4 linked regions of the Drosophila melanogaster genome follow. The gene in region 4 interacts genetically with the main gene of each other region. Each region holds a gene or a part of one and is shown on either strand. Other genes may lie near its edges. The genes, in order: 14-3-3zeta, Sbf, Pi3K68D and mtm.

Region 1 (8,045 bases), on a different chromosome or scaffold from region 4:
AGGCACCTTCACCTACACCAACATGACCGAGGGCTTCTCGGTGATTAAGGACGAGCCCGTCAATCAAGCCAGCTCGCCCACCGTTAATCCCATTGACATGGAAGCGCAGGAGAAGATCAAGCTGGAGCGCAAGAGGCAGCGTAACCGTGTGGCTGCATCCAAGTGCCGCAAGCGCAAGTTGGAGCGCATCTCAAAGCTGGAGGATCGCGTGAAGGTACTTAAGGGCGAGAACGTCGACCTGGCTAGCATCGTGAAGAACCTCAAGGACCATGTGGCGCAGCTGAAGCAGCAGGTGATGGAGCACATTGCCGCGGGCTGCACGGTGCCGCCGAACTCGACAGACCAATAACATTTGGAGTTGTCAGCCGGGGAGAATGATGAGGAGGACGTGGCACTGGAGACTGAAACCCCCTCGAATCCTGAAGATCCCGAGCAACCCATGCCTCTGGAATTCTTTTCAAGTGCTAGCACCGGTGCCTTGGAGCTGGAGGGCTCGGCCTCTCAGGATATTTCCCTAACTAACAGCGAACTCCTGGAGGAGGAGAGCGATAACGAACAGCCTCTGGTGCTCTACATCCTCGCGGACGACGCAACCTGAGGCTTTGTGCCTTTCTTTGGTTTTAGCTGCAATATCTGAAATGCTTCTTAAGTGTTTTGTTTACTTAGTTATTAGTATAAGCTAGTGTTAATCAAGTATTATCTGTGTTGAACGTAAGATAATATGTAATGTACTTTTAAAATATACGTATATTTTCTGCACTTGATATATACATAAAAAAATTATTTCTACGCCTTAAACTTATTTATTCATCATCCTCCTCTTCGTCATCATCGTCGTCGTTGTCATCCATGGCCTCGGCCTCGGCCTCCTCTTCCATTGCGCTATCAGCCTGTTCCTCGTCGTTCACATCATCCTCGACATGCAGCTGGAAGCCTTCGCTTTTTGTCCACGAGCACTTCATGGTCAGCCGAAATTTGGCCATGGGCTTGCCCACCAGCTTGAGGATTCTCGCCTGTTCGGGTGTTAGAACTTTGCCCTCCTCACAAACCGTGTAGTCACTGTACAGCGTAACGATTCCCTTCTCCAATTTGGTGGGCAGGCCCAGGGAACGCAGATGCGGTTCCATAGAGTGGGCGAAGTCCTCTAGGGGACCTGCTGGCAGGGTAACCGTTTCCGTGGCCACAAAGCCACTGCGTGCGTATTCCACGGCCCAGTAGTTTTCTGCCCACTCCAGGACTTCCTCCTTGGATTTGTCCGTGAAAAGCAGTCCCACCTGGCCAGTTAATCGCTTGGATAGCTAATAGACATAGCCTGTGATTAGTGTCTGATATATGTTAATCCACTTAAACTTAATTACCTTGTGCAATTCCGGCTCCACTTCCTCGCTCTTCGTGCGACCCAAGCCAATCTGCATAACACGATTCTTGCCAAAGATAAAACGAGAATTCTTTTTCAACTCCTGTCGCAGATCCTTCAGCAAGCTATTCCTCATGTTCTGAACTTGGAAAACGAATATATTTGGGTATTTGCCCACGCAGAACCGAATGTCGTCCACAATGCGCTGTTTCCAAGCCAGACCCTTGCGGTCGGTTTTGGTCAGGGAAACTAAGGGAAGAAGAGTATCGCACGTTATAAGTACAAATCGTATATATTAAAGCCGAAACTCTCACCTTTCTTATCACGTTTGGAGCGCGGCATATCTGTAGCCTTTAAATAGCAACGTTTTCTTAACAGAAACCAAGAATATTTCCCACCGAACGTAAACACGTGCGGCCTTCTAGAGATGGTAAATGTTCCTAACCAACAATCGATAGCTCTATCGTGTATCGGAATTTCGCACCGTGCGGGTTGGAAAATTCCTGCGGGCCAATCCCTACTTCAGCTTTCCTCGTTTTCCAACACATCTGCGCGTAGAGAAGAAGAAGAACCTTCACGTCCGAGCCGTAAGAGGTGAATTAACTAATTAATAAGTGCTTGCTCGTTTAAAACTAAGTTAAAAGTCGTGTGCTGAGAGCCCAAGGATTACGCATATATTCGATATTCGCTTGAAAACCCAGGCGCAGTAAGTAGTTTCACCTAGTGCGTCGTGTGTCGGCTTGCGACCGCCATATTGTCGGCGGATAAAATTTTCCCCGAATAAGTGCGCCCACGCACTTTATCGATTCCGTTGGCCTCCTAATTGGATGCCACCTGCCCCTTGGGCTCTCCGCATTTGATTGCGTGCGGTACTGGCCTTGCGAAAATCCCATTACAATTGGAAATGGACGTAGCAATTTTTCATTACCGCAACCAAATAGGACGCCGATGACGTAATTTTTTCCGTCTTGTTCTTTGTGAGCTGTAGTAAAATGTAGAGATGAGCGCGTGAGCATGTCTTCGCCACGCACGAGTTGAATTGCAATACACTTACACGATTATTTAGAAAATTCCTCGTACACCTAATTACCGTTTTTTTTTTTTAATGACTTGAACATTATGCTTAATGTAATACAAAAACATCATAGAATATTAAATATATTTTCTTATTGTATAATTAACAATAGAAGAAGACTCAAAAGAATATACTCTAATTTTGTCGAATTATCCCATATTGACAGGACTAAGTATAATTAGAACTAGAAATTGATTGTTAAATCCTCGCCTTAACTTCCGGCCCACAATCGTAGGCCCTGCCTCACCTCACGAAAATCATAAGTACGTGGATATCTCGTTTTTATGTGTGAGTGCACCAATTCAATGAAATCCAAATTAGAATTAAGGCAATTTACCGCCACCCCCTTATCAATGGCATACATCTCCCGATTAGTTTCCTCCTTGCGGAGGCCATAAAGTCAAGATAAAAGCGTAATCTGGCAGCGAGATAAGCGCTCGAAAGTTTCAACAGGTTGGAAACGAACTATAAACTATTACTTCATAAAACGATGATAACACAAAGACTTGACAATAAAAGCTGGCTCATTTTAAAGCTCTCTATCTACAAGTTCTGAGACGCCTATTAATTAGTATATTTTATCTGAAAGTTTGGTTTCCAAGTTTTACCTGCACACCTGGCAACATTAATTTATACAGCAGGTTGGCAACCCTGAAACTCTCTCACTTGTCGCACTTTCTCGCTCTCGCCTGAGCCAGCCCCATATGCTCCCTCTCATTCTGCGGCGGCGCATGTGCCCCTGCTAGAGTGTGCGTGGGGAGAGAGCGCAGAAACACAGATACAGCGGCGCGGCGAATGTGTGCAACCTTTGCCGTCCGTCATTCTCATTCGTTCGTTGGTAGTGTTCGTTGTCGTTTCAGTTTCAGTTAATCGAGAATGTAAGTAACATTTTTGCTGGCCCAGAGTGCCTTGTACCTATGTGTGTGCGCCTGCCAGTGTGTGTATGGAATTATAAAACGTAAAATTGCTAAAATATCCGAAGAAAAAACACGTGTAATGCCGCCTATGAGCAATCACTTACATGCATCTATACTTCGTCCCGCAGAAAAATCGAAATACATAAATCAGACATCGATCCGAAGCCAAAAAAAAAAAATCTACGCAAAAGAATAAAGTGTAAATTTGTGCAAAATAAGGAAAAGAAAAGAAAATGAAAGAAAAGAACATTCCCGAGTTGCCCGAGTATTGGTGCATGTATGTGATGCGGTGAGATTCGCTTGTAGCTTCGTATTTCTCATCATCATCAGCAGTTCATCGGTTAAGTTGTAGGCGGCGGACATAGCCGACTTCTATATTTACGCTTATATAGCCAGCTATATGTACACACAGTACGCCAAGATAGATATATATATATATATATCCAAGTTGATACTTGGATGGGGACACGCGGTTAGGTGGGTTTCCTCGCCAAACTCAACACACTTGGCGGCCGCCTGTGGTAGATACATTTCGGCCTCTCTCTGCGGCGTTCTCCGCTCTCTCCCTCCCTCCCACCTCGCTCCTCCTTTCTCCCGATTATTTTTATAATTTTGTAGCGCCGCACTTGGAAACACGATTGGCGGCCCCACCAACACCATCTCACCCATCCGCACCACCATTACCACCACCACCCAGAACGCACCGACACACGCAGAGTCGCACGCACACAGCCCCAATAAAAGTTAGTAACTTTTTCGCCCCATGTAGAGCCGCAGTAGCGGTATCTACAGTGTAGAGGAATTTCTACATCATCGGGGATTGGGTTCTTGCTCGGCTCGGTCTCGGGGGGTTTGGGGGGGGGGGGGGGGTTCTTGAGCTACTGCGCATGCTGTCGGCCGGCGCAGATAAGGTTTAAAGTACCAAGTATCCATCCGACACGGATTTCGCAGGATTTTCTAGCCCCGAAATTAGCCTGACCATATGGGTGTTAAACCGTCCTCTAAGGTCTACGTATCTATAACTTCGAGATACCCACCTCCCACCTGTTTTTCCCCCTATTTACCAATTTATTCATTCAGGCAGATGAGCAATCTGCGTGGTTGAAACAAGTTTTTCCTCCTTTGATTTATCCGATAAAAACTACAAACATATTTGTGACCATTTAGGGGAGTGTTACGTTAATTTACGTTACGCCTGGCTTAATGTTTTGGCATTTACCGAGCACAGGCAGAAAACATGCCAATTGACCTAAAAACGCGTCGGGAGACCGCACCGCACCCTCCCCCTTCCATATTTTTGCTACGCCACGCCCCGCCGCCCTTTTTGTTTTGACAAAGGGTCAATGCTTTTTCAATTTGGCGGTCGGTCGCAACACAAATAATAGCTGTTTTCATATGGTTTAAACTTCAATTGGTTGGTTTTTAGGCAACTGCGCAGAAATCAGCATTTATAATTGCTTCTGCCAATGTTACTGGGTCTTTGAAACTAGTTGTTAGCTTCAGTAAAGAACATTTGTATGGGGTTTCAAACATTTTGGAGACTATTTTTCACCTAACCATTTCAATGTAGCAACTATTCAGCGGTCGCTGCTAGCCAAGCTGGACTGTAAATCCAATTGAACGCGGTATTTGTGGGATTGTTGCTGGTGCTTTTATGATGCCGATGTGTTGAGATTTTCCATTTCAATCATCGGCTGGCTGCATTAGCTGGCATTCTTGCTTGGTTTTCGAGGTTTCCGTTGCGCGGGCAAACAAAACAATTTTTTTTTTTTTTGTCCAGAGCCGCCAGTTGTCTAAAAATACCAGCAACGCCCATACATATGCATTTCCACAGACCGATTTTCACCCCTCGTCCTACGCAGTTCTTGTTTCCAAGCTTTCTCCAGGTCGAGCGGAAATTAATCGATTTTCCTTTCCCACGTCCCTTTGAAAATTCAAGCCGGAAATTGGTCCTACATTGAAAGTTTGGATGATCCTATCGCAAGGAATTATAATTGGATTACGTGTGAGCGGATTAATGATTGTCGCCTGCTTTCCCGTGTTTTTATTTGGATTTTTTTTTTCTGTTTGTTTTCTAATAATTACTGCACGTTTAATCGATAGAAGTTCAGCGAGTGGGCAAGTAATTGAGTGCGTCACTGTGCGGAGAACACAAACAGACGGTCTCTATGCACGTACATAAATATCTATCTTTGGCACACACACAAAAATATATAAAAACGCATTAAGGCGGGCCGACTTGTGCTCCATTTCTCCCTCTCTCTTTTTATTCATGGTTTATTTTTATCGCTGTTGTCGAACTTGTATTTTTTCACATCTATCTGCCAGATACTCTCTTTCCACCTTCGGCCTTCCACAAACCCATAAACTGGGCTTCGAATAGTTGCATAGTTGCCACACGTGCGGCCATGTCCAGTGCCACATTGTTTTTGTCGCTGGCTTTTTCCCATTTAAATTAGCCATTCCGTCAGCGATTAGTCAATAAAGACCTGCTGCGAATGCATGAGTCATCGCAGCTTTGAATCCAACACTTTCGTCCAGCGGAAGCATGACAACAAACTAAATTCGTACGACCTTCCTAGGAATACTCGCGCAAGTGCATTGCGGGTATATTGGACTTGTCTGAGTGACTCAGATAATATTATTAGTCACTCAAGTTCTTTAATTTATAAGGAAAAATCATTTTATAACTTTGTAGTCAAGCAAAACATCTTTTAAATTACTTTTAGAGCTAACGAATATAAAATATAGAATCGCGGCCTTCAATTAATTTAAAAGCATAAGCATCTATCGAACCAAAAACATGGAATATCTTATAATGTCTATTATCCCCTATAAGGGGTGATCGTATATGGCAGTTGAGTTCACTCCACAGAACATACAGTGCCACACAAAAATTCGCAGTGTTGTGCAACTGCTGGTTGCTGTGGAATTTTAGCTAAATATAACAGACAAGTAATCCGCAACAGAACTCTGTTAGTCAGTCAGGTGTTTGTTAAGAGCTCACAGCCGAGAACCGTTAGGCGAGAACGAGATAACGGGTTAAAGTGGCCTCACCTACATTTCTCCTCCACTGAAAAACACACTAATGCTCCTGTTTACGTTCTAATTTATTGCAGAAAGCCATTGTTAGCAACTTTTGAGGGGCATATCGAACTGTGTGGCGTATTTTATTAGTTTTGTGAAGTAACCGAAAAAAAAATCAAACAAAATGTCGACAGTCGATAAGGAAGAGCTGGTCCAGAAGGCTAAACTGGCCGAGCAGTCAGAACGGTAAGTGGTTCATCTTATAATAAAGTTCATCAACCTCACAGAACTTCAAAAGAACCCTACAAACTCATTTGGCAAAAGTTATAGTTGCACATAATATTTATTAATACGTAAAAAAGACATTCTTGGAAGTTATAAGAACTCTAAGATTTAACATTGTTTTCTGTTTTATTAAATCCATTTAAAATCATCTTCTAATGAACAATATATGTATCATTTAAGTTGTTCTTCAAAATTTAAAGAATGCATATATTTCTGTGATCTACATGACTAAATATTTTCAATCACTAATGGAACATTTTCTATGCAGTTACGATGATATGGCCCAGGCCATGAAGTCCGTCACAGAGACTGGCGTTGAGCTCTCAAATGAGGAAAGAAATCTGCTCTCCGTTGCCTACAAAAATGTGGTCGGTGCCCGCAGGTGAGTCAATCAATCACAGATTGATTAATGTCGCACTATAGATTGGAGTTCAAGTGCTAAGCTGTATGTTTCTGCCCCTTCTCCGGGTGTGTTTAACATGTCCAAACCAGGTCATCGTGGCGTGTCATCTCCTCCATTGAGCAGAAAACCGAAGCATCCGCTAGAAAACAGCAGCTCGCCCGTGAGTACAGAGAGCGTGTGGAGAAGGAGCTGAGGGAAATCTGCTACGAAGTTTTGGTAAGTGGTGGTCCGCAAGTCTGCGCAAGTCTCTTTCTGAAGGATTTATGGGGTTGTAATTGGTCCATCTAATTATTTTCATGCCCACAACTCACTTGGTTGTTCATCTGCATTGACGGTGATGAAGATGGCAAACCTGTCAACCGCCTAAATATATATATATATATATATATGTATAAAGACCTCCGCCCTTGGCAAGCTCAGCTGTCCGAGGGTGTTGGTTGGATGGTTCAGTGGGTTTTCCAGAGGGTGGGCCTGTTTTCTGGTCTTCCTTCTTGCTCTAGTGAAATATAAAAATTTGTTACAATCAATAAATCTATTTTTAAAATGAACATGTTCCATTTTCCCCCACACACAGAGGTTTTCGCTTGTGTGTATATGAAATTTATATTGCCGTTCACGGATCAGAAAATGACCATGGCCAGGGTTGAACTCGGGGGTTTCCCCATTCGCTTTTCTTTGATTGGGGCTTTTATATTGGATTAAACTTAACTGGTGCTTGATGGATTTTAAAATGGAAAATGATTTAGAACAAGGTTTACAATAAGCCTGGCGGCTTACTTGGTTAATTGTTGCGTTTGGTTTTCGAAATTGATATGAAATTAATTGGAGTACTTGTTTCCTTTGCTTACAGGGACTTCTGGACAAATACCTTATTCCAAAAGCCAGCAATCCCGAGAGCAAGGTGTTTTACCTGAAGATGAAGGGTGATTACTACAGGTATTTAGCCGAGGTTGCCACAGGAGATGCACGCAACAGTAAGTA
Region 2 (7,689 bases), on a different chromosome or scaffold from region 4:
GGGTCAGTTCCTGGCCGGCGAACTAAGTACCCACGAGCAGGTGACACAGCTTTTTAGCAATTTCACGTGGTCACGAGATGATCTTACTGTGGAGCAGGCGGCTGTAGTGACCCACTGGATGACCAGTTACACCAGCGTCTTTGGCAACCTTGTCATCTACACCCTCTTTACGGTATAGGATTGCAGTTGAATTCCTTTGCAGATGCTGATCTTCCTTTTTGCAGTTTGTGGTCTCCATTATCGCATCCACGATACCAGTTCCGTCGGGCATGTTCATTCCGGTTTTCAAGATCGGTGCTGGCTTTGGTCGTCTGGTGGGCGAGTTCATGGCGGTGACATTTCCCCACGGCGTCCGGTATGGCGGTCGTCTCTCGCCCATCATGCCCGGAGGCTATGCCGTCGTCGGAGCGGCCGCCTTTTCTGGCTCCGTGACCCACACGGTGTCTGTGGCGGTGATCATTTTCGAGATGACTGGTCAGATTACGCACGTGGTACCCGTCATGATTGCTGTGCTGGTGGCCAATGCCGTGGCGGCGCTGCTCCAACCGTCGATATACGACAGTATTATATTGATTAAGAAGCTGCCCTACCTGCCGGATCTGCTGCCCTCCAGTTCCGGGATGTACAGCATATTCGTCGAGGACTTTATGGTGCGGGATGTAAAGTACATATGGCACGGCATCTCGTATCAGAAGCTCAAAGAAGTCCTCAAGCTGAACAAGACGCTGAGATCCTTGCCACTGGTGGACAGCCCGGACAACATGATCCTGCTGGGTTCCGTGCAGCGGTACGAGCTGATCAAAATGATCGAGAAGCACATTGGACGCGAGAAGCGAATGGAGGTGGCCCAGAAGTGGCAGAAGGAGGCTCAGGAAAGAGCCCTCGAGGAGGAGAAGAAGAAACAGGAAGTGGAGCTCAAGATGCGGCGACCATCTCGATTCGAGGTCCTTCCAGCTCCGGATATTCTCAGTTTACGCCAGATTGCCAACGACGAAATGCTGCCGCCCAAGAAAAGGGCGGAGACAATGCACGGTTCGCTGGCGCCCAGGAAGTCCATTTTGAAGAAGACCAACTCCTTCAACCTGAAGACCTACGCGCAGCCCATGGGGCACAGTCCCAGCATCACGCCCTACACCACGATCACCGGCAATTCCGAGTTCCGCATTCGCTCAGCCTTCGAGGCCATATTTAAGAAGTCCACCACGCTCCAGGACGTACAGCCGGATCCGGAAACGGGTTCCCTCTCCCCGGCGGCAAGCAACCACGAGGTGGAGGTGCCGCGAACTCCTAGCACTCCCGGTGTTTCCAAAAAGGTTCAGCTGGTAGGTGCATATTTTCTATTTACCGCATAAAAATTGGGTTTTGGGTTATCTAAGTTGCTGAGTAAACCGGAAGAGGAAATCTCTCTTTTCAAGCCTGCACAAAGTAATTGGGATTTTGTAACAGATCAAATTATGCTGGTAAGTTACTCACTAACAACATTCATATCATATCATTTCATTCATTTTCTCGGAATATGTGTGTTTAACTTACTTTAATATCTGCAAGCAAGTAAACCCTATTTCAACGGAATCAAATAAAATGGTAAGCCTTAAAACGAAGTAAAATTATAAAATAAGGGTAGTATCCACGCATGAAGTAGTACTATGGGCCTTTTTGAAGTAGAAGAAATACTTAATAATTTCAGTGGAAGATTGAAGTAGAGTATTGCCAGTTTAAAATATCTATCTATACATAATTTTGTAATCTCAAGATTAATGTTTAAAAAGCCTGCCGAGAAAGATTTCACGGATAAAGCATTATCAAATAATGGAGATAGTTCAAAGCAATCACCGAGCATTAAATTCAAAGCAAATAAAGTGGCAGATGTAAATAGATCTCCTCAGACGGCCAAGAGGTGCTCGAAAATAAGGTTTGCTAACGAAGTTGGAGTAAATGGTTCGCCCACTCGAACGAAATGTAAAATAAAACCAGAAAATGTATTGGGTTACTCTATAGAGGATGTGGATGAAACAACAAATCCAGAATCGCTGGCTGAGGTATGTAAAACTGATGCAAACTTTTGATTAATATCTATTGTCAACGAGCTTACAACGCATTATGAATCATTAACTCTCAAAGTTAACATACACATTTTCTCTCCTATCTTGTAAATCCCAAATAAGAGCATTCAAAAGCCGAAGTCGGTGCGATTGGTACGTTTAGAATATTTTAATTACATAACCCCTTATTTCAATCAAGATATAATATCTACCGATTTGATTGATTTACAGCCCAGGGAACGTGTTATTGACATGTCACCGGAGGATCAGAAGCAATGGGAGCTCGAGGAAATGTTGAAGCCCATCGATTTGCAGAAGGCCAATGTCCACATCGATCCCTCGCCATTTCAGCTGGTGGAACGCACCTCCATACTCAAGGTTCACTCGTTGTTTTCCATGGTGGGTATTAACCACGCCTATGTCACCAAAATCGGAAGACTTGTTGGTGTCGTGGGACTCAAAGAAGTAAGTCTTGTTTGATATCCTTGATGATTATAACAATAACACATGTTTTATTAAACAGTTGCGAAAAGCCATCGAGGACATTAATAGCAATAGTTTCGTGCCCCCCACACGGGATGAGGATGCGGATGAGAAGCCGGCGGTGGAGAAACCTCTGCTGTCGACGAACTCTAGTGATAAGGCCGTGGACATGACCGTCACCTCCATGGACTCGGCACTATCCAATTCCGAGAACTGTTCGGACATTGAAATGGAGCACATAAAGCACACGGATAAGGGCACTGTATCGCTCACCATGCCGCCACAGGAATCTAAGCAAAGTCCATCGGCGGACAAAAGTAACACAGAAAACGGAAATCATGCTTGAAACAAGATGATCGGCCATCATAATAGTTAATACGATACGTATACGTAATATGTTTGTAAAGATCAGCTAAACACATCTATCTTAAGTTACGTCTTACACGAGTTAGTCATCAATGTTATTATGTATTTATATCTCGTTAGTTCATAATGTGAAAAATATCGTGATTTATATTTAAGTTGAAAAGAAAATCAAGTCACCAACGAAGGCTGCGTTTGATTTTTATTTATATACTGGGGAGTATTAATGTAGTATACAAGTTTCCTATTTTTCCAACAGATTAATTATATTATAATTTCCCCAAAATTGTTTAATGAATATTTAAGGCTAAGTGGAAATTAATTTTGCCATTTTCCAATTGATCTTTTAAGTTCGCGCCGATTAATTTGTAGCGCAGTCCGAAACTATCGATACATTCAAAGCGCCAATCAAATATCGACACATTCAATCAGCTGATGCAGAAAGTGTTGGATAATTCGTGAAAATTATTGTGTATTGCATCTATCTTTTTCTATGCGAACTTAAAAATAATTATTATAGCCCCGAATTCTTTGAGATTTGCTGGCAGTTAGCGGGGATTTCGGCTGCAGCCGGCTGCGAGGTGTGTGCGCGGATATATATATATAGATTGGCCAGTCCGATTCCCGGCGAACGATCCCACTTTGCGTGGCGGGGTGTGGTTAAAGAAAAAAGAGTGAAGACCAAGACTCGTAAAGCCTGAAAAACGCCTCCGGGCGCTATAGACAATACAATAACAATTCGGCCCCTCGATCTCCGTGGAGCTAATCATTTATGCCGAGCGCAGAGACGGAGCCTAATTAGCATATCAAATTGGATGACGGCACTGGCGAATAGAATCCATCTGCCGCTGTCCCCTGCTACAAGAACGCAACAGAACAAAAACAAAAAAAAAATCAAAATAAAACATCTTCAACTCTTTGTTCTCCTAGATTTGGCTAGTAAAGAGCCGTAGGATCCTAGACGACTGGCCGGCTATGTGGTGGGCAAGATGTCCCGGCTCGCTGATTACTTCGTAATAGTCGGCTACGACAGTGATAAGGAGAGTGAGTACATCCACATGCCCATCAGCCATAATTAGCAATTCTCTGACATTCAACAATTTCCCTTTTCCCAGAAACTGCCAGCAATGTGGGCGGCCAGCCGACGTGCGGCAAGATCGTTCAGCGCTTTCCCGAGAAAGATTGGCCGGACACTCCGTTTATCGAGGGCATTGAATGGGTGGGTGCGCTTGAAACATTCCTCACTTAATTCGAAGCATATCTGAATTTTAACTTATCATTCCGACAGTTCTGCCAGCCGCTCGGCTGGAGTTTATCGTACGAGAAGCAGGAGCCCAAGTTCTTCGTCTCTGTGCTGACGGACATCGATGCCAACAAGCACTACTGCGCCTGCCTCAGCTTTCATGAGACGGTGGCCATCACACAGACGCGCAGCGTCGACGACGAGGATGAGACCATCGGCAGCAGCAGGCTGCTGGGAGCCACACCCTCATCGATGGATGGCATCACAACGACATCCACGCCGGCTTCCATTACGCACCACAGCGTCATGTATGCACCAAAGTGTCTGGTGCTTATATCGCGTTTGGACTGTGCCGAGACCTTTAAAGTGAGTTTAAAAGTCAGACCACCTAAGATACTAAATTAAGCCATTATCTTAATTTACAGAATTGTCTCGGCACCATATACACGGTGTACATTGAGAACCTGGCGTATGGATTGGAGACACTCATAGGAAACATTCTGGGCTGCATCCAAGTTCCTCCAGCGGGTGGACCGCAGGTGCGCTTCTCTATAGGAGCAGGAGACAAGCAGTCGCTCCAGCCTCCGCAGAGCTCCTCCCTGCCCACGACTGGAAGTGGAGTCCACTTCCTCTTCAAGCAGCTGGGCATCAAGAATGTGCTGATACTGCTTTGCTCCGTGATGACAGAGAACAAGATACTGTTTCTTTCTAAGTGTTATTGGCACCTGACGGACAGCTGCAGAGCTTTGGTGGCATTGATGTATCCCTTTCGGTATACTCATGTTTATATACCAATTCTGCCGGCTCCACTCACGGAAGTGTTATCCACACCTACGCCATTTATTATGGGCATACATAGCTCACTGCAAACTGAGATTACGGATTTACTGGATGTTATTGTGGTGGATTTGGATGGCGGCCTCGTTACCATTCCCGAGTCGCTGACGCCGCCTGTTCCTATTCTTCCATCACCGCTGTGGGAACAGACCCAGGACCTGCTCAGCATGATCCTGTTTCCAAACCTGGCGCAGGCCGATCTGGCGTTTCCCACATTAGAGCGGCCTTCAGCTATTGCTAAGACTGACGCCCAGATTGATAAGGAACTTCGCGCCATATTCATGCGCCTTTTCGCTCAGCTGCTGCAGGGATATCGCTCCTGCCTGACTATCATTCGGATCCACCCAAAGCCGGTGATCACCTTCCATAAGGCAGGATTTCTCGGCGCCCGCGATCTGATAGAGAGCGAATTCCTGTTTAGGGTGCTGGACAGCATGTTTTTCACGACGTTTGTCAACGAACGAGGCCCTCCCTGGCGATCCTCCGATGCCTGGGATGAGCTCTACAGCTCAATGAACGAACTGCTCAAATCGGAGGCGCAGAATCGAAATCTCGTAGGTAGAACTCAAAGATTCAAGGGATATTTTAATTTTACCTTTCCTTCCTACTTTCAGATACTCACACATATCCAGGAATTGGGACGAGTTCTATATGAAAATGAGGGCACTCTGGCTCACATCAGCTATGCCCAAAAAGTACTGCGTCCGCCGGAAGGCGCATTCCAGCGTATTCATCAACCAGCCTTTCCGCGCATAAGTTCGGAAAAGGTTGAGCTTATCATACAGGAAGGGATACGAAAGAACGGAGTGCCACAACGCTTTCATGTAACACGTAATCAGCACCGTATCATTCCGATGGGACCCAGGTTACCCGAGGCATTAGATGTGCGTCCCAATGTCCAAAACTCGGCTAGGCGACTGGAGGTGCTGCGGATCTGTGTGTCATACATCTTTGAGAATCGAATTACAGATGCCAGAAAACTGCTGCCGGCTGTGATGCGCACCCTAATGCATCGGGATGCGCGCTTGATCTTGTGCCGCGAGTTCTTTGGATATGTGCACGGCAACAAGGCAGTTCTGGACCATCAACAGTTTGAATTAGTTGTGCGATTCATGAACAAGGCGCTGCAAAAATCATCCGGCATTGATGAGTACACAGTGGCTGCGGCTCTGCTGCCCATGTCCACAATCTTCTGCCGTAAGCTCTCGACTGGAGTAGTGCAATTTGCGTACACAGAGATACAGGATCACGCCATCTGGAAAAACCTGCAATTTTGGGAGTCTACTTTCTTTCAGGATGTCCAAGGTCAAATAAAGGCGTTGTATCTGCTTCACCGACGTCAGAACGAGCATCAAAAGGAGGCCAACTGTGTGCTGGACGAAGTTCCTCTAGAGGAGCCCACGGCGCTTGAAATTACAGCCGAGCAGCTGCGCAAAAGTCCCAACATCGAGGAGGAGAAAAAAGCCGAGCTGGCCAAATCGGAGGAGTCAACTTTGTACAGCCAGGCAATTCACTTTGCGAACCGTATGGTTTCCCTGCTAATTCCACTGGATGTCAATGTGGATGCAGCCAGTAAGCCGAAACCGGCGTTTCGTCTAGAGGAAAATCAGAGTGTTTCCAATAGGTAATACGAGATAAGTTTCTAACTTTGATTTTATATTTATATATGATTTCAATTATTAAATTACAGTATTATGGGCTCACACAGCCTAAGCGAACATTCCGACGAAGGATTCGAGGAGAACAATGCTTTGGAAATAGGTGTCACGGTTGGGAAAACCATTTCACGCTTCATTGACTGCGTTTGTACCGAAGGTGGAGTGACCTCCGAGCATATACGCAATTTGCATGACATGGTACCGGGAGTTGTGCATATGCACATCGAGTCCCTGGAACCGGTATATCTGGAGGCTAAGCGTCATCCGCACGTGCAGAAGCCCAAAATTCAAACGCCATGCCTGCTGCCAGGGGAGGACCTGGTGACAGACCACCTGCGTTGCTTCCTTATGCCGGATGGACGCGAAGATGAAACCCAGTGCCTGATACCCGCCGAGGGAGCTCTTTTCCTCACCAACTACCGTGTGATTTTTAAGGGTTCACCTTGCGATCCCCTCTTCTGTGAGCAGGTGATTGTTCGCACTTTTCCGATTGCCTCCCTGCTAAAGGAGAAAAAGATATCGGTGCTGTACCTGGCTCATCTGGATCAAACGCTGACAGAAGGACTGCAGCTGCGTTCCAGTAGCTTTCAACTGATCAAGGTCGCTTTTGATCCTGAAGTAACTCCCGAGCAGATTGAGAGCTTTAGAAAGATATTGAGCAAAGCGCGGCATCCGTTTGATGAGTTTGAGTACTTCGCGTTTCAATCATACGGCACCATGCTCCAGGGAGTGGCTCCGTTGAAAACCAAGGAGAAATATTCCACCTTAAAGGGCTTTGCCAAAAAAACACTGCTCCGCGGGGCCAAAAAGGCTGGATTCAAGCAGAAGCAGCAGACCAAGCGCAAACTAGTTTCTGATTATGATTACGGAAGTGCAGATGCGCAGGAAACACAGTCCATCGACGATGAACTGGAAGATGGAGATGAGTTTGAAACCCAAAACAATGCCATGCCCAGATTGCTAACAACAAAGGATGTCGAACGGATGCGAGAAAGGAGCTATGTGCAGGACTGGAAGCGACTCGGGTTCGATGCGGAATCACAGCGTGGTTTCCGTATAAGCA
Region 3 (8,113 bases), on a different chromosome or scaffold from region 4:
CCTTGAAGGGCTGTCCGTATATGGACTCGCCGCCGGTGCCGTCGCCATTCGGATCGCCTCCCTGGACAATAAAGCCCTTGACCAGCCGGTGGAATTCGGTGTTCTTGTAGTAGCCCTCTAGGCAGAGTTGCACAAAGTTGCGGCACGCCTTCGGACACTCCCGTGCCCACAACTCGATGTCTATGTCGCCCACAGTGGTCTTAAGGAGCACCTTTCCCGACGTGGGTGGTTCTTGGATGTAAATATTGCTCATTTTTTAACAAAAATCAAAACAATCTCAACGGCAGTGTGACCGCACTCCACGCTTTACAAAATACCAACAATTCCTCGAACACTTGTTTTTTTTTAATATCGTTAAAAAAATTTAATAAAATTATAACAATTTAAATTTATATCAATTAATGGTGTAAAGCTAGTTTGATTTTATTTTTATTCTAAGGTTTCATATCTGTAAGCCTCCATTGGAAATGCTATAAGCTCTCATGCAAAGGAATTAAGTAAAAACCTGAAATTAAACATACTTTTAAAAACTATGTAGTCATTGAAATCCCAAAACATTTTTTTACGCTATCCCTTAGTTAATATTAAAGACTACTTTATCCTGTTCGATTATTTTCGTTGCTGTAGACATTTAAAATTCGTTACTAGGCAACCGTATCGTTTACATATCAATAGTTCTTTTTACTTTTTACCATTGGTTATTATTCACAATGAATTTCAACGACGATCCACTGGCTGAACTGCTCAGCGATAATAGCCTGGATAATGACAACTTCTTTGAGACGCCAGCGGGAGTGGGTCACAAGAAGCCAGCCAAATTGGCGAAGCCCAAGGGAAAACTGGAGGATTTGTTTGGGATTCAGGAGGAGACGGAGGCGGATGTCCAGGGACAGGGAACGGGTGCCAGAAAGACACCCAATGCCATCAGCACGCCGAGAATTGTGAAGCAGAAGCCATCTATCTCACTGGATGATGATCTGGTCGAGGACGATGACTTGGGTTTTGATCCCAAACGACCCAAGAGTGGCGGCACCAAAAGGAGCCTTTTCGATGATCTGTTGACCAGCAACGCGGAGCCCAAGAAAAACATTTTCGATGAGATTCTGGCGGGAGATGCCGTCAAACGTCCGGCCACTAGCAAACCATCCATGTCGCGCCAATCCACGGACACCACCACGGACAACTCGCAGGCGAGGCCCAAGACTTCTACCGGCAGAAGAAGCTCAGCGCAATCGGCCACCATTAATATGAATGCCGATCCGTTGGGCCTTTTTGGCAGGGATACGAATGCTACTGTTTCGGGAATGTCCACTCCCGTTTCGAAAAAACGGGGAACTACCGCGGATTGGTTGGGTCTGGAGCAGGAGCCGGATCAGCGACCGATAACACCGAAAGCGCAGACCGCCAAGGCGCAGCCCTCAAGTGAAAGTCCTTCCAAGAATACAGCCGACATCCTGCGCCTGCCCGACTCCGATGAGAACGGTATGGAGCAGGAGGCGGAAATGGCCGCCGTGCCCGCCCCATCCGTCGTCACTGCCGCCACCCAAAATATCCTCATGCTTAGCAATCTCAACCTGGAGAGTAACCATAAATTCAATGCCCTGCAGCAGCAGGAGGCACAATTGGTGATTGCCGCCCAAATGAAGAGTCAAGAGCGGACTCTATTGGAGATGCAGCGTCGCCAAGAGGATCAGGATCGAAAGTTTCAGGCATTAATCCAACAGCAGCTGCAGCGACAGCAGCAAATGGAGGAGCATATAAAAGGCCAGCAGGAGCGGATCAACATGCACCTCCAGCTGATGATGTCGCAGCCAGTGCGTGTACAGGATGTGGTGTCCACACCGCCGCTCGTGGAGAAACCGGAACCGGAACCGGAAAGGAAGGAGCACCACAAGGCGACCAGTCAGGAACAGGAGCATTTGCTTCTGCTAGAAATGGATGCCAAACGCAATCTGCTGGAGAAACAGCGACTCGATGAGCTGGTGGCCAACATGAAGGTCAACTATGAGCAGGAGATCGAAATGATAGATTCTTCATATAAGTAAGTTTTAACCAGCTGCTGAAATAATAATGCAAATGAGTAAGAGAATTTAATTTTATGTCCAGAAAACAAATCAAGGTGCTGGAGGAGCACTTGTCCGTCGTAGAGAAACGACTCAAGGACGAGAATAGCGAGTTACGGCAGTACTACATCGAAAAACTGGAGAAGCAGAAGGAGGACTATGTGGAGCAGATTTCCAGCCTGCGACAAGATCATGAGGATGAGGTGCGCAAGCTGCGTCAATCCCACGAGCTGGACCTCGAGGGTATTCGTCAGGCTAAAATGGTGGAGTTGTCGGCGGTGCAGGATCATGGAAATTATCTGGACACATTGCGTCTGGCGTCCAGCAATCTTCAAGAACTTCGTGACGGGATGAGTGACAACCAGGAAAGGGAACGGCAGTTGGAGGCGCGAGAACGTCGCCTGGCCGACCAGGAAAGGCGTCTAAAGATGGACGAGGAGACGGCCGACGATGAGAAGCGCCGCCTGATGGAACTGGTGAGCACCTTGGAGCTGCAGCTGGGCCGTTTGTCCAAGGAGTCAGCCGAAGAGAACTGGCAGCTCCGTCAACGAATGTCCAGCTTGGAAGCGGAGCGCAAGGCTTTCGAGCGCGAAAAAGAATTCCATCGCGAGCAAATGCAGCGGGACGAGAAGCGTGTGGAGGATCTTAAAGCACTGCAGCTTGCGGAAATGGAACGACTGCACCACGATCTCCAGGAGGAGCGCAATCAACTGACAGTGGAACGCCAGCAGATTGAACTAAGACAACAGCTCAATGAGCACGGCGACCCAGACAGAGATCGCCGGGAACTGGAGGCCCAACTGCAGGTGGCACGCGAAGCCATTCGGCGGGCGGATGAGGAGCGGGATCGCTACCACAAGCTGCAGCGCGAAATGGAGCAGCGCAAGCGCCATCTTCTGGATAAGGAGCACGCCCTAAATCTCAAGGAGGACGAACTGGGCCAAGCCACCGGCGCCTACCGCCTAGCCACTAGTCGCCAACACTTGGCCGAGCAGAAGGCTAGGGAGGCGGACCAGCTGCTCCAGGCCAAGCTTAAGGTCATGGCCAAGCGGGCCCAGGAAATCGCGGAAAAGGAGGCACAGCTGGCCCACGAACGAATGCTGGTGGCGCAGGATCGTATGGCTTTGGTCAATCTGAAGAAGCAGATTTCTCGCAGCAGGTGTGCAATCTGCAAAATGGGTGCGGAATCGGCGGAAATCGCCCAGCGAAGGGCAAATGTAAATCCCACAGCAGCCACCGATCTTCAACTGCCTCAAGTGACACCCAGTCATGCGGAGCTGCTGCTTAAAATGTCCCAGGAACCGGGACAGGTCCAGAGTGACATTGTGGATCGAATGCTGGACGAAAACATCGAAGCCTCCTACCGCAGGATGTACAATGCGCCCCCCAGTAGTTCAATCGATGATCCCGACTATCTATTGACGTTAGCTGGTGGGCTGGACGACGACTCCAAGGTGGCCATGGATCACGGCCTGAATGTGGACGAAGCATTTATGTAGATATTGTGGAAAAATTTGTGGAAGCACAAATAATAACAACTGAGATAAATAAATGTATTACTTGGCAATTAGTATAAGTTTTATAAACAAACTATGAAGATACAAGATTACATATCGCTCGAAAGTTAAGTATTTTGTTATTCGTTAGAAACTCAATAAATTTGAATTGATGGAGTGAAACCCGGCTACATGATTAGCCAATACTCAAACATCTGTTCGATGTATCTTTCATCGATAGTTGCCAAACAATATCGATTCGTTTACCATCGCTACTGCTTGTTGCATTCCGTTTTGTGTTATTTCGTGCTGTTCGTGTTTAAAGTTCTTGCGCACAAGATAATTGTTTTTTTTTTATTGTAAATTAACTGATTTGTACATAATATGTGATGGTGCAAGAAAATCTAAGAAAATAACGTTTTGTTCAGTATTTTGGTGTTGCGTCTATTCCGTTTTTTGTCACTGTTTTCTGTTCGTGTTTGTGTATGGTCGTTTCGCATGTATGTGTGTAGGTGTTTAGGTGTGTAGGAGGATAAAACAACTCTCCTAAAAACAAAAAAAAAACCTTTGGTTAAGTTTAAATTAATTGTGATTCGTCAAATATAACAACAACCGAGGATAAAAGTGTAAAACTATTAACCGGATGGTCTATGTTCGTAGCCCCGTCAAGGGAAAACCTCAACCAAAAAGAGACTAGCAACGGGTGTAAAAAGCAGCGGAGGTGACACCTCAAAAAGCAAGTAAGTTGGCAATATGCGGATGAGAATCACAAAGCAGAAGTCAAGTCTGCATATTAATGACTATCTCCATTATTATTTTCTTTCGCCCTTCCACCGATATTCGTTTTTTTTAAATTTTATTCTTACGTTCTCCGGAATAAATTGGCATTCAATTGGGTTCATTTATTGTTTATGAATATTGTTTTTAAAAATTTTTTCGCAATCTATTGATTTACCTTAACCTTTGCCGCACGGAACCCTCTCTTTTGCTCTCTCTTCCTCGCTTCCTATTCCTAGCCGGTTCGCATTTTCTTATCTTCCATTCCGTCCCCGTTCGCGACACGGACTCACACACACACTAGTGCTTTTGTGGGTGTGTTTATATTAAACAGCTGTTTCCTATCTGCATACGAGATTGGCTTCAATGGGGAAAAAATCAAAACGCTTACATGCTGACATATATATATACGTTTATATTGCATATATTCGTATATATGTGTAAAATCTGGGAAATCAGTACTCGCAGCATTCATTCACGCAAATTGATGCCGCCGCTTTTGTTTGTTTTTATATATTTATTTACAATCGCGCACTCAATTGCGCCTTTTTGCGCCACTCTGCTGTATCGCAATCGCAAATTTGGAGCGCTTGGATATGGTTTCTATGTGCAAAGTACACAAGTATTTACCACATTTGTATGTACAAACAATAAGATAAAATGTTTTGCTGATGTTTGTACCGAATGTCGAAACTCTGCTAATCATACTTAATATCATGCTTGCATAATGATGTTCGAACTTTTCTATTAGAAGTTGATATTTTTTAAAATATAAAATTAATTCCTGTCCCTGCCCTGGCTATCACAAATCCTTGTAATTACGTTTTAAATGCAGTTGTCATATCCTTTTAACCATTTCGAAGCTTACAAATCTAATAAAGCGATCAATCTGTTCTCCCCTATTTTCTGAATTTCTGAATCATTGGTGCCCGCTAATGACGGCTCATTATCGATCGCGAATATTCCTTTGCAACTTAAAAAAAAAAAACTAGTGATAGGCACCCCCACTCTGTCGCAAGTGGTCTTCCCCCCATCGAATGCTATCTCACCTGTTCTTCGTCCAGGTACTCATATAGTACCATTGCCATTTACACTGCATAATCACTTTTATCACCGCCTGTTCGTTATCGCAGAGATAAGCAATCCCAAAAGCAAACACCTTTGTTCAACAACAAATAGGCATTGGAAGAGAAAATACGAAAATAATTTTAACAAAATTTGGAAATCGCTCACATTTTGTTCTGGTTCCCATTCGCAGCTCAACGGACCGGACGCTTTAGACGAGGGGATAATGTCAAATCAAGCGCATATCGACTACGACAAACAATTCCAGGATGACCTGGCCAAGGCGACCGCCCTGAGTCTAGAGCAGCATGCCCTCGATGACTACAGGCGAAACAAGAAGTACGGCTCCGGGTATCAGCAAAGCTCCACCGTTGCTGGCCGAGATTACCAGGCGGCGCAACGTAGTCAGAGCCTACATCAACCACGACGGCACTCGGAGGTGCATCAGGTGGCCATCAGTCCGGAGAATGCGGAACGATCGCGCACACCGCCGGCCCAGGGAACGGATAACGATCTGATCTGCTTCGCAAGTCCCACCAGCAAGCAGCCAGAGAGTAGCAGTCCCTTTGGCAAACTTATAGAGGATCTGCAGCGGATGCAGCCGACCAATCCGCAGTCGGCCCTGGTGCCAATGGGTCCAGTTGCGTCGGCTTCGATTCCTCCTCAATACGGCTTTCCACCTCATCAGCAACGTCCAACGGCTGCTCAGCCCACACCGTACGGCATGGTTGCAGGTGGAGTTGTTGGTGGACCGGCTTACGGTGACCTGCAGTTGGTGCCTTACCAACCAGCTGCTCAGCAACAGAGGCCACTAAACAGCGAGGAGCTGCAGCGGCTGTACAGCATGCCCGCTCAAATGGCCGTGGTTCCAGTGCCGCAGCCAAACGCCTATATGTACTATCCCGGAGCTGTGGTTACTCCATACACGGCTCCCATTGTTCCCGGATCGGCTGCTTTTATGCCGCCGCAGTATCCCGCACAGGGATATGGCTTTGGAGGTGCTTACACGCACATGGATTTGCGTCGACCCCAATCGCAACCAGCTCCCCAACAAACAGCACCGACAACAAGTCATCATCACAGCCAACCGTCCAACCATTCCACTTCCTCCCCCGCAGAGGCCAATGGAGTAGCCTTCCCAGCGCGTCGCCAAGTGCCCTCGACTGTCGGGGTTAGCTCTAGTAGCCACACTGGAAACAATGGTCATTCCTCGGTCCCACGCAGGGGCAACGATTTGATCGACCTCAACCACGAGGACTAGTATGTATCCACTAGTGTTCAGAAATGATTAGTTCGTGTTTTTAACATTCAAACATCCTGCTTTGCAGCTCCCGTGTGAGTGTGCTGGAGGCATTCGATCCCCTGCTAAACGACAATACTGGTAAGCAGCCTCAATGTTGTAATTAACGTGTAGCTCCCGGTCCTCGTTGAAATCCCCCCACATTTTTCGCACCGTAAACTAAACTTGAAATACAGTCGAAAACTCGTGTGTTGCGATTTTTGGCCAGAGCATTCATTTGAGCTGCAAATAAAAATTATTGGCATAATAACATTAGTGGATTTTTCAACTCAATCTCTAGGAGAGAGGAATATTAAATTGAATAGGAACAAGCACACGATTTTGTATTTGTATGGTATTTACTAATAGGTTTTATTAATTTTATATTTATCCCATTATTTGTTTAGCAACAATTAGTTTGGCTAGATATACGAGATCCTTTTTAGAATTGCCCGTAGCAAGTTGTCGCTCGCCTTTAGTTAAGAATTAAACTGAATGTTTCCGTTTCTCTATATTGCAGTGTCGAAAAAGTAATCCATTTTAATTGTCCTCTACTACTATCAGTACTACTACTACCAAAAATGCAAAAAAGCAACTACTTTACACCCACAACAACTACACCATCTAAAGGGTTTCGGTTCAGATTGGTTCGTTTCGGAGGCAATGACAGATTAGTGTCTATAACAGCACTTACTTAGACCACCTTATTACACAAAAATACTAAAGTAATATATATACATATATGTATGTGCCCTCATATCGAAATTCGTGCCTTCCGCTATTGCCGGAATAATTTTGAAGTCAGCTTATATATCGATGTCCAAAATGTCGTATTCAACTAGTTCGCAATGTTTGGAATTGGTTTCTATGTATATTCCCGCGACTGAAAACTTCAAAATTTAAAAGAATTTAACGACTGTCAATTGAAAAGTGATGAAATGAGAAGAATTAGTCACTTCTTTTTAATAACCATGTATTACGAAATGAACAAATTGTGATTTGCTGCTACATATATCCATTAATACACTTATATACAAAAATAAATACATACATATGTTTAATTCTATCGTGTACCATTGTGAGAGAACAAATAAATAATTTCTTAAACAAATTGCAGTCTGTTGTTGTTTTATTATTCGTTTAGCCGCTTGCTTCCATTTCCCATTAAAAGATTAAATAACGCACATTCACGCTTCTCTAACTAATAATTGACAATAGATTTGAAGCTTTTCGAGCATATGTATGTATTTATTTATTTCATTCTGGCTAGATTGGAAAATCAACTAACTCTTTACTATGATTTGCATTCAAGTCGTTGCACTTTTGTCAAATTACTTGTACGCTTACCCTTTTTGTTTTGCTGGCTTTCAAAGTTCCCGCCAAAGTAGCAATGCATTTCAAACAGATGTATTTACCAAACGCTTTTAAAATAA
Region 4 (7,893 bases):
CATATACTTGGAGTTCCAGTCGTGCTCGTTGATCTGCATCACTTTGTAGCCCATCATCTCTAGATGTCGCATCTTCAAAGATTCAGGACCCCGCAATGCAGTCAGATCGTTTTCACAAAAAGAGTCGAGCTTGAGCAGTAGTATTGCCACTCTGAAATTGGAGTCATTAATGAAGTACCTGAATAAGGTAACTTCCATTTGTGTGCCTACTTGGTTATGCGATCCAACATGGTTGCCTCCACGGGAGGTGCTGGGATGGGATTTTTATCCCGATCGAAATGTATCACAAAGTCTATTTGGTAGCCGTAGGGTGTAGTGTGGTTGCAGCGGAAATGCTTGTCATTTTGAAGAAGCTGATGCAGCAGCTGCTTCACCTCTGTTGTGGACTCACTGGGTATTAAGGATTCTAAAAAGATAATATGATAAAGAACGCCTAATACAGAATTGTAGTTATATGTTACTTTTGCTGATCTGCGCCTCGATGTAGTTTTGTTGAAACCAGGGCACATTCGCCTCGGGAAAGTCCAGGCATACTGTGCGATTCAGTTGCATAACCAGGTTAAGGACCCTCTCCGGATACGTTGCTTTTGAGTAGCATACTTGTATCTCATCCTCGATTCGCTGAATGAATTTCACGCAGAATACTTGATTGATTAGCTGCTCTGGTATTGATTTGTAAAAGCACAGTGCTAGACAAGCCTGGACAACCGATAAACCGCTCATCTGGTCAAAATCTCTGATGGAAAGATTACATTTTAGATCTGCCTCAAGAAATGTTTATGCCCACCTTAGCAGTACTTCGGAGGCGTGGTTTAGAGCCTCCACGGACGCTGGCATGTAGCCCAAATTATACGAGCAGGTCAACACTTTCTCCACTGTGTCGCCGGAAACGTGATCATGCTGTTCGGAAATGTAGGCGAACATGGACTCCAGGAGCTCGGGAACAAAGAAATTCGAAGCGTTGAAGTTGTAGGCCATGTCCCGAACCACCCGAGAATTGAGATCGTTGCAGTGCAGATTTTTGTACTGCGCCAGGGCCTGGTTGTAAACCACCGTATTCTTTAGCTCTGTAAAGGGATAAAATTGTTTAAATTTGTTTATATTTCAAATGAACCAAAGTTATCAACTTACTCTTGCGATGACTGAGTGTTCTGACAATCATGCTCAATTCGCTGGCATTTAGAGGGTCCTTTTCGGCATCTCTCAAGTGCCTCTCCGCACAACCGATGAGAATGCTGTCCATTGTGGACAGTTGCATGCCAGCTAATGCCGGAAGATGCTGGCGAAACCTTAGTTCGCTGGCTATTTGCATGCCGCGACTGAGGAGAAAGCAATCCTGAATGCCAAGCTGGGGCGCCATTGCGAGCATTTTGCTTAACAAAAAGTTGGGAAATTTCTTCCAGGCCAACGGAGTCTGCCCGTAAGCTAGCACAAAGGATGCAAGTCGTGCGAACTTCGCTGGCAGCCTTCCCGCTATGTCATGCTCAATAGCATTCATGCACATGCGACTTAGCTTTCGTTCCAGTTCTAAGTGACGGTAGGTTCCTCCCAGATTGTTATTAAAGTTCATATAGCGTTGACAGTGTCTCAGGAACCGTAGGTGCAAATGCTTTTCCGGACAGGACTCCAGCTCTTTTACAACTCCTGACCAGTATGTGTTGCAGAATTCAATGTCGGAGACTTTTAGTGCACGCAGAACGCTGAATAAATGTCCGCTCGCATTGGGTTGCTGCCAGGCCTCTTCGGAGTAGAGCAGTTCCTTAAACTGATGCAGATACTGGTCTCTCTGCAGTGGCGTTGCAAAGGGAACTGCACAAAACAGGGCGTCAGCAGTGCCTTCTTCCTGTAGTAACTTTTCAAGGGCTTTCTTGAGCGGCTCTATCAGTGCGGCGGGTTCTTGATGATGCAAAAATGTGCGACAAATGCTCTTTAGATCTGCAGACTCCATCTGGTGTATGCAAGGTCGCAAGACCAGCATGACCTCCCGAATCAATTGGGTGTGGGTCTGCGACCACACTGGAATATTCAGCATGTGGATCACCTTCAGAAGAGCCTTAGGGGTTTCGCTGCTGAGGACGCCGCTTTGCATCATTTCAGTCAAGCGCAACTTGAAGCGCGTAAACAGCTCCTCATCAATGAGAAAGTGTAGCTGAAAGAGGCACGTGGACAGAAGGCGAACCTGCTCTGCGCTGCGACACCAATTGATGTGATGTTCCAGGTGCGGAATAAAGTTCCTACACACAAGCGGAGTGAAGAAGTCGCGTTCCAAGTTGATGCCCACCGAGAGGCGAGACAAGGAGGTCAAGGGAATGACTTCGTCATCAACTTGTGACTCGATTAATTGAAGAGATCTCGTCAGCACGGCCTCCACGACTGCCTCGGAGTTTGGTATATGCATTTTGCGCAGGTACAGGTAGCATCTACTGAGATCATCGATCTCCAGTTGGTGTACATAAGGGGCCAACTTTGGGAGCACGTTAAGCAGCACGCGATCCGTGATGGCATCTTTACTTGCCTGCTCCGCGTCGTGATAGATGTTCCACAGCAGTGAGATTCCCATCACCACATGGGAGCTCTGCAGGCCGTCACAGCTCTCCAACACATCTAAAATCTGGTTACCCGTCTTGGCCTCCTCCAGTCGGGTTAGAAGAGCATCCTGTTCCCGTGGCACGCCAAACTTGTCTTGGAGATCTCCGTTCACCAGCTGCGAGTGCTTCCTCAGTTTTTGGCCCAATGCCGGCAGCAAGGCAGCTGTTTGGATGGGCGGCTTTGCGCCAATGTTAACGTGCCGTCGCAGGAGCTGAAGCTGACGCACTCGCAGAAGGTATTGTAGGTACTTCCATTGTGTCCGCGGCAGGTGGTTCAGATACATGCCACTTTATCTCACGCTTATTCAGAAATCGTTGAATAATAACAAAATTACGCCGTATAAACATGTGAGTGAATTTTTGGCGATCAGCTGGTGTCGGTGTTGCCATGAAATCCTAATTTCCATTATACTGAAACCAATAATGGAATCAATGTGTAAAAAAAAACTTAAAATAATTTCTGAACTGTGATTAGCGGTATACAAGTTAGATAAGTAATTACTTAATTCGTAAGTAATTTGTTTATTTCGTCAAAAGTTTCATAGTGGCAACTCTAGTTTTCAACAGGTTGTTGACGAGTTGACATTTCTGTTTGTAAGCAACAGCTGATAAGCAGCTGACCCTAAATAATTTAATAGGCTAGAGCGTTATCGTTGTTAAACAACTAAACAATGGCATACACTGATCCTGCGCAACGAAACCAGGTGACCGTGCTCCAGGTCGGCTATTCTCGCCAAGAAGAAGGAGACGAGTCCGCCATGCGGGCTAACTGCACATGCACACTGGTCCGCTGCCGGGATGGCACCAACATAATCGTGGACACACTGACGGCCTGGGATGGAGATCACCTGCGTTCGTTGTTGGGCCAGCAGGGACTAGGCGTCGATGACATCCACGTGGTGGTCTGCTCTCACGGACACTCTGACCACATCGGTTGCAACTATCTGTTTCAGAAGGCACGAATGCATTTGGTCGGCGCATGTGCCTCACATCACGACCTCTACATGGACCACCTTGGTAGTGGTAATCCAGACGAGCAACTGGCCCTAGATTCGAATGCCGAGGTGGTAGTGAGGCGGTCGCCAGGACACACCCTCAGCTGCGTTTCAGTTCTTGTGGAAAATTCCCAGCTGGGTGGACGGGTCGGTATCACCGGAGATCTCTTCGAGCGTCGCGAGGACATCGACGATGAGAACATTTGGATGGACGCTGGAAGCGAAAACGAGAAGGTGCAGCGCGAGGAGCGCAGTAAAATGGCACAACTGTGCGAGTTTATAATCCCAGGACATGGTCCGATGTTTTCTGTCACACAATCAATGCGCTGTAAACTTAAAGAAGACGCCACTTCTAACACTTAATTTATTAAGCATTAAATACATATGTTAGAGATTTTTTTAAAAGCGGAATTGTTCTAGCTTTCCTTGATTACCAGTTAAATGTCTGAAATAAGTTGATTAATTCCAATACATAAAAATCAAATTTTCCGCCACTACATAATGTCCCTTTGGTACTTTTGTCGGAGGAATGGGAAATTATTCCAGATGATTTTATATTGCGTGAGTTGGCAGCACTGCTGCATGAGTTTTGGTGAATTGCATTTAGCTAACAATTGGAAAAGAAAACACAGCTGCAACCAGCAACACAATAGCCAAACACCACTCGTGTCCATCCGAAAATGGATCCCTCCGCGAGCCTGGCCGACAAGTTGGCCTCCAAGACTGCCAGCAGCAACTCTCTGGACAGCAGCTCCAAGTCCAGTTCGCTGGGCTCCAAGCACGGTGGCGGAGAAAACGGCATTCTGCGGGACACGCCCTTCGGCTATCTGGAGGGCGAAGAGGACCAGGACCAGAAGAACGACGTGACCTACGTGTGTCCGTACCGCGGCCCCGTCTTCGGCGCTCTTACCATAACCAACTACCGTCTGTACTTCCGGTCGCTTCCCCTGCGGGATCAGGAGCCGCCCGTCGTCGTCGACGTGCCTCTGGGCGTGATCGCGCGTGTGGAGAAGATTGGAGGTGCCACGTCTCGCGGTGAGAACTCGTACGGCATCGAGATTTTCTGCAAGGACATGCGAAACCTGCGATTCGCCCACAAGCAGCAGAATCATTCGCGGAGGACGGTGTTTGAGAAACTGCAGGCCAACGCCTTTCCGCTCTCGTACAGTGGGCGCCTCTTTGCATTCGCCCACGCCGCGGCCAACTCTGTGAACGGTAACGGAGGCTGGGACGGCTGGGCGGTATATGAACCGCTGGCGGAGCTGCGCCGCTTGGGCGTTCCCAACGATATGTGGCGGGCGACCAAGCTAAACGAGTCCTACGCAATTTGCGACAGCTATCCGGCCGTGTGGGCTGTGCCCAAAGCGGCCTCCGATGATTTCCTGAGGCGCGTGGCACAGTTCCGATCGCGCTGCCGCCTGCCGGTTTTGTCCTGGATGAACCCACGGACTCAAGCGACCATTACAAGGTGTTCCCAGCCGCTGGTGGGTGTAAGTGGCAAGCGAAATTCCGACGATGAAGCATACCTAAGCTTTATCATGGAGGCGAACGCCCAGTCAGACAAGTTGACCATCATGGATGCGCGACCAAGCGCCAATGCGATTGCTAACAAGGCCAAGGGCGGCGGCTACGAGTCAGAGGACGCGTACAAGAACGTGGAAATCAACTTCCTCGACATACACAACATCCACGTGATGCGGGAGAGCCTACGCAAAGTGAAGGAGGCTTGCTTCCCCACCACCGACGACTCAAAGTGGCAGACGGCTATTGACAACACACTGTGGCTAAAGCACATTAGGTGCATCCTGGCCGGCGCCGTTAGGATTGTTGACAAGGTGGAGACCATGAGCACCTCCGTCGTAGTTCACTGCTCCGACGGCTGGGATCGCACAGCCCAGCTGACTGCTCTTTCCATGTTGCTGCTCGATCCGCACTATCGCACAGTGCGCGGTTTCGAGGTTCTCATTGAGAAGGAGTGGCTCTCCTTTGGCCACAAGTTCCAACAACGCATTGGTCACGGCGACAACAAGCACTCGGATGCAGACAGATCTCCGGTGTTCCTGCAATTTATCGATAGCGTCTGGCAGGTTAGCCAGCAGTTCAACAACGCATTTGAGTTCAACGAGCACTTCCTGATAACCATCGTGGATCATCTGTACTCGTGCCGCTTCGGCACCTTCCTCTGCAACACGGAGGCCGAGCGTGTGGCCGAAGGTTAGACTGATTGCTGTTTGCATGGGCTTGGAAGTAATTTTCACATTTATTGTAGATCTCAAGCACAAGACAACATCCCTGTGGACGCACATCAACTCGTCGCTGGACCAGTATTTGAATCCACTCTTTCCCTCGTTCACGCACGGCGCCGAGCTAGTGCTGCGTCCGATTGCCAGCGTGAGATCGGTCCGCTTGTGGAAGGGCCTATACTGTCGCTGGAATCCTGGTCTGTGCGCTCCTCAGCATGGCTGCCAGCGAACCCGCGAACTGCTATCCAAGCAGGACCAGCTCTTTAAGCTCGTCAACGAGCTGCGGCTCAAGTCGAACAACCGCAGCAACAGCATGCAGACAACTACGCGACTGGCCTCGCCTATGCACTAATAGTATTGCTTTTTTATTCCCCCTACTTGTACGCATATGTAGTGCACGTATTGTGAACTACGTTCTAATTCCAAATAAAAGTTTTTCTTAAATGGAAAACTAGTCGATTCAACATTGTATCATTGAACCACATTATCGAATCTAATTAAAGTGTTAAATGTCTGAGAATGTTTTAATTATTTCATGAATAACATCATATAGTTCAAATCGTATAGCGTTTTCGCAGCTCAGTGGAGCTACTTTTATATGTGCCTTAAACTAGTTTGGATGTCAAAAAGATACCTAAACAGGTGACCAACTGTTGCACGCTCCTTGTGATTCATTCATAAACACCGCTTCATAGAGGCGCCTGCGCGTTGGACTACGCACGTTAAATCCCGAATCCCACTTTTGACACCACAGGACACAAAACATTTCGGCTTTGCGCCAAAATTAAATCACAGCTGCCTCAGTACGACATCGCACGTTCATTGGGACAGACGTGTTCCGATTTCCGGTAGGAAAAGGGCAGGTGTTTGTAAAATATCAGGAAATGCGTTCGGAACTCTTAGAGTTCCGCAATAGATATTAGTTATGCCTACTAGGATATGTGTGCTGTTTGGGCTTCTGTGCCTCGCAAGCTTATGCTGCGGTAGTAACAAGCCAGGAGAGGTGCTCCTGGTTATCGCCTGTCCCCCGCATCCTCAGCAGGCCAGAAGTGATTGTTTAGCCTTATCGCACAACGTGCTGGAGCAGCAACGGGCACTGGAACTGGCGGGGATCTTCCCCGAGGACTTTGTCCTGAAGGTCCATGTGATGCATGAGCTCTTTAACTCCTGGACCATGCTGGACGCACTGCCTCATCTAAGAGCCCAGGCACGTGTGCTGGGTGCGCGCACGGAATGGATTATATGGTGTCAACACAACACGCGTGTGTCTTCGTTGCGCGGCCTGCTCGAGCAACTGCGTCGCCAGAACCCAAGGGAGGTGAGTTTGTCACTGGAGGCCACAACTGTGTCCTATATCCTTGTGCCTCCTCCAGCTAGCTTTCTATGGGCACGCCCTTTACGATGCGGAGGCAACCATCATCCACCACTTCTCGAACTACAAGGATCCCCAGCGGTTTCCATATCCCATGCTCAGTGCCGGAGTCGTTTTCACTGGTGCTCTGTTGCGAAGGTAAGTCCTTTTTAAATGGCATATGAAAGTAAGTTATTACAAATGCATTGAGAAAGAAGGGATAAGTTGATTTAAGTATTTGAAATGTGTCTCGACAATTGGTAACTCGAACATTGTTTTACATTCTTGAATGAATCACTTGTTACCAGGTTGGCGGATCTGGTTGCTCCTAGTGGCCAAAACATCACCGTTCACAGCGATTTCTCCATTGATGCCTCTCACGAGCTGGCTCGCTTTATTTTCGACAATGTATCGCCCGACCCGCATATTAGCACCCCGATTTCCGGAGGAATCCTGCTGAAAAGTGCCAGCTACATATGTTCCACACCCACGTCCGTGCCAAACAGGAAACTGCCTTGTCTGCTGCATGCGCAGCCGGAGGAGCCACTGACTTTGGGGCAGCGGAGAAATGGCTGTGTAAGTTTATTTATGCCTGGCATGCCTTGTTGCAGCAAAATCATATATCATGCTAAGGGGCTTTTGATTAAGATGAGGTATTTGCAAAAATGTCAAAATTTCGTTATTTTGCATGAATGTTTTTAAGTTTACCTGTTTGT

Evidence for each region.
Region 1: of mtm (region 4) and 14-3-3zeta, changing one suppresses a phenotype caused by changing the other (phenotypic suppression), as found in Drosophila melanogaster (one study listed by BioGRID).
Region 2: of mtm (region 4) and Sbf, changing one suppresses a phenotype caused by changing the other (phenotypic suppression), as found in Drosophila melanogaster (one study listed by BioGRID).
Region 3: of mtm (region 4) and Pi3K68D, changing one suppresses a phenotype caused by changing the other (phenotypic suppression), as found in Drosophila melanogaster (3 studies listed by BioGRID).

What each region holds. Positions count from the first base shown.
Region 1 is NT_033778.4:10,097,788-10,105,832, forward strand, and holds the start of 14-3-3zeta (14-3-3zeta), read left to right. Parts: upstream 1-1,889; 5' UTR 1,890-1,951; exon of another isoform or gene 1,952-2,063; intron 2,064-3,248; exon of another isoform or gene 3,249-3,390; intron 3,391-5,334; exon of another isoform or gene 5,335-5,354; intron 5,355-6,327; exon of another isoform or gene 6,328-6,396; intron 6,397-6,468; 5' UTR 6,469-6,560; coding exon 6,561-6,622; intron 6,623-6,929; coding exon 6,930-7,043; intron 7,044-7,153; coding exon 7,154-7,280; intron 7,281-7,914; coding exon 7,915-8,038; intron 8,039-8,045. Other genes in the region: Jra (Jun-related antigen), read left to right, coding at 1-349; RpLP0-like (ribosomal protein LP0-like), read right to left, coding at 804-1,298, 1,359-1,606, 1,672-1,699. UniProt on the Drosophila melanogaster protein: Required in Raf-dependent cell proliferation and photoreceptor differentiation during eye development. Acts upstream of Raf and downstream of Ras, and is essential for viability.
Region 2 is NT_033777.3:11,792,624-11,800,312, reverse strand, and holds the start of Sbf (SET domain binding factor), read left to right. Parts: upstream 1-3,364; 5' UTR 3,365-3,469; intron 3,470-3,818; 5' UTR 3,819-3,877; coding exon 3,878-3,932; intron 3,933-4,003; coding exon 4,004-4,107; intron 4,108-4,176; coding exon 4,177-4,497; intron 4,498-4,556; coding exon 4,557-6,592; intron 6,593-6,658; coding exon 6,659-7,689. Other genes in the region: ClC-a (chloride channel-a), read left to right, coding at 1-172, 225-1,322, 1,416-1,460, 1,549-1,584, 1,770-2,039, 2,166-2,195, 2,274-2,507, 2,566-2,871.
Region 3 is NT_037436.4:11,785,727-11,793,839, reverse strand, and holds the start of Pi3K68D (phosphatidylinositol 3-kinase 68D), read left to right. Parts: upstream 1-3,826; 5' UTR 3,827-3,918; exon of another isoform or gene 3,919-4,219; 5' UTR 4,220-4,299; intron 4,300-5,594; 5' UTR 5,595-5,627; coding exon 5,628-6,661; intron 6,662-6,729; coding exon 6,730-6,782; intron 6,783-7,200; coding exon of another isoform or gene 7,201-7,214; exon of another isoform or gene 7,215-7,788; intron 7,789-8,113. Other genes in the region: CG10907 (uncharacterized protein), read right to left, coding at 1-253; twy (twitchy), read left to right, coding at 711-2,041, 2,107-3,562.
Region 4 is NT_033779.5:6,033,182-6,041,074, reverse strand, and holds mtm (myotubularin), read left to right. Parts: upstream 1-4,059; 5' UTR 4,060-4,263; coding exon 4,264-5,797; intron 5,798-5,852; coding exon 5,853-6,178; 3' UTR 6,179-6,344; downstream 6,345-7,893. Other genes in the region: CG31643 (uncharacterized protein), read right to left, coding at 1-151, 211-406, 462-736, 788-1,067, 1,132-2,872; CG9117 (uncharacterized protein), read left to right, coding at 3,260-3,946; CG9109 (uncharacterized protein), read left to right, coding at 6,752-7,144, 7,200-7,336, 7,486-7,753.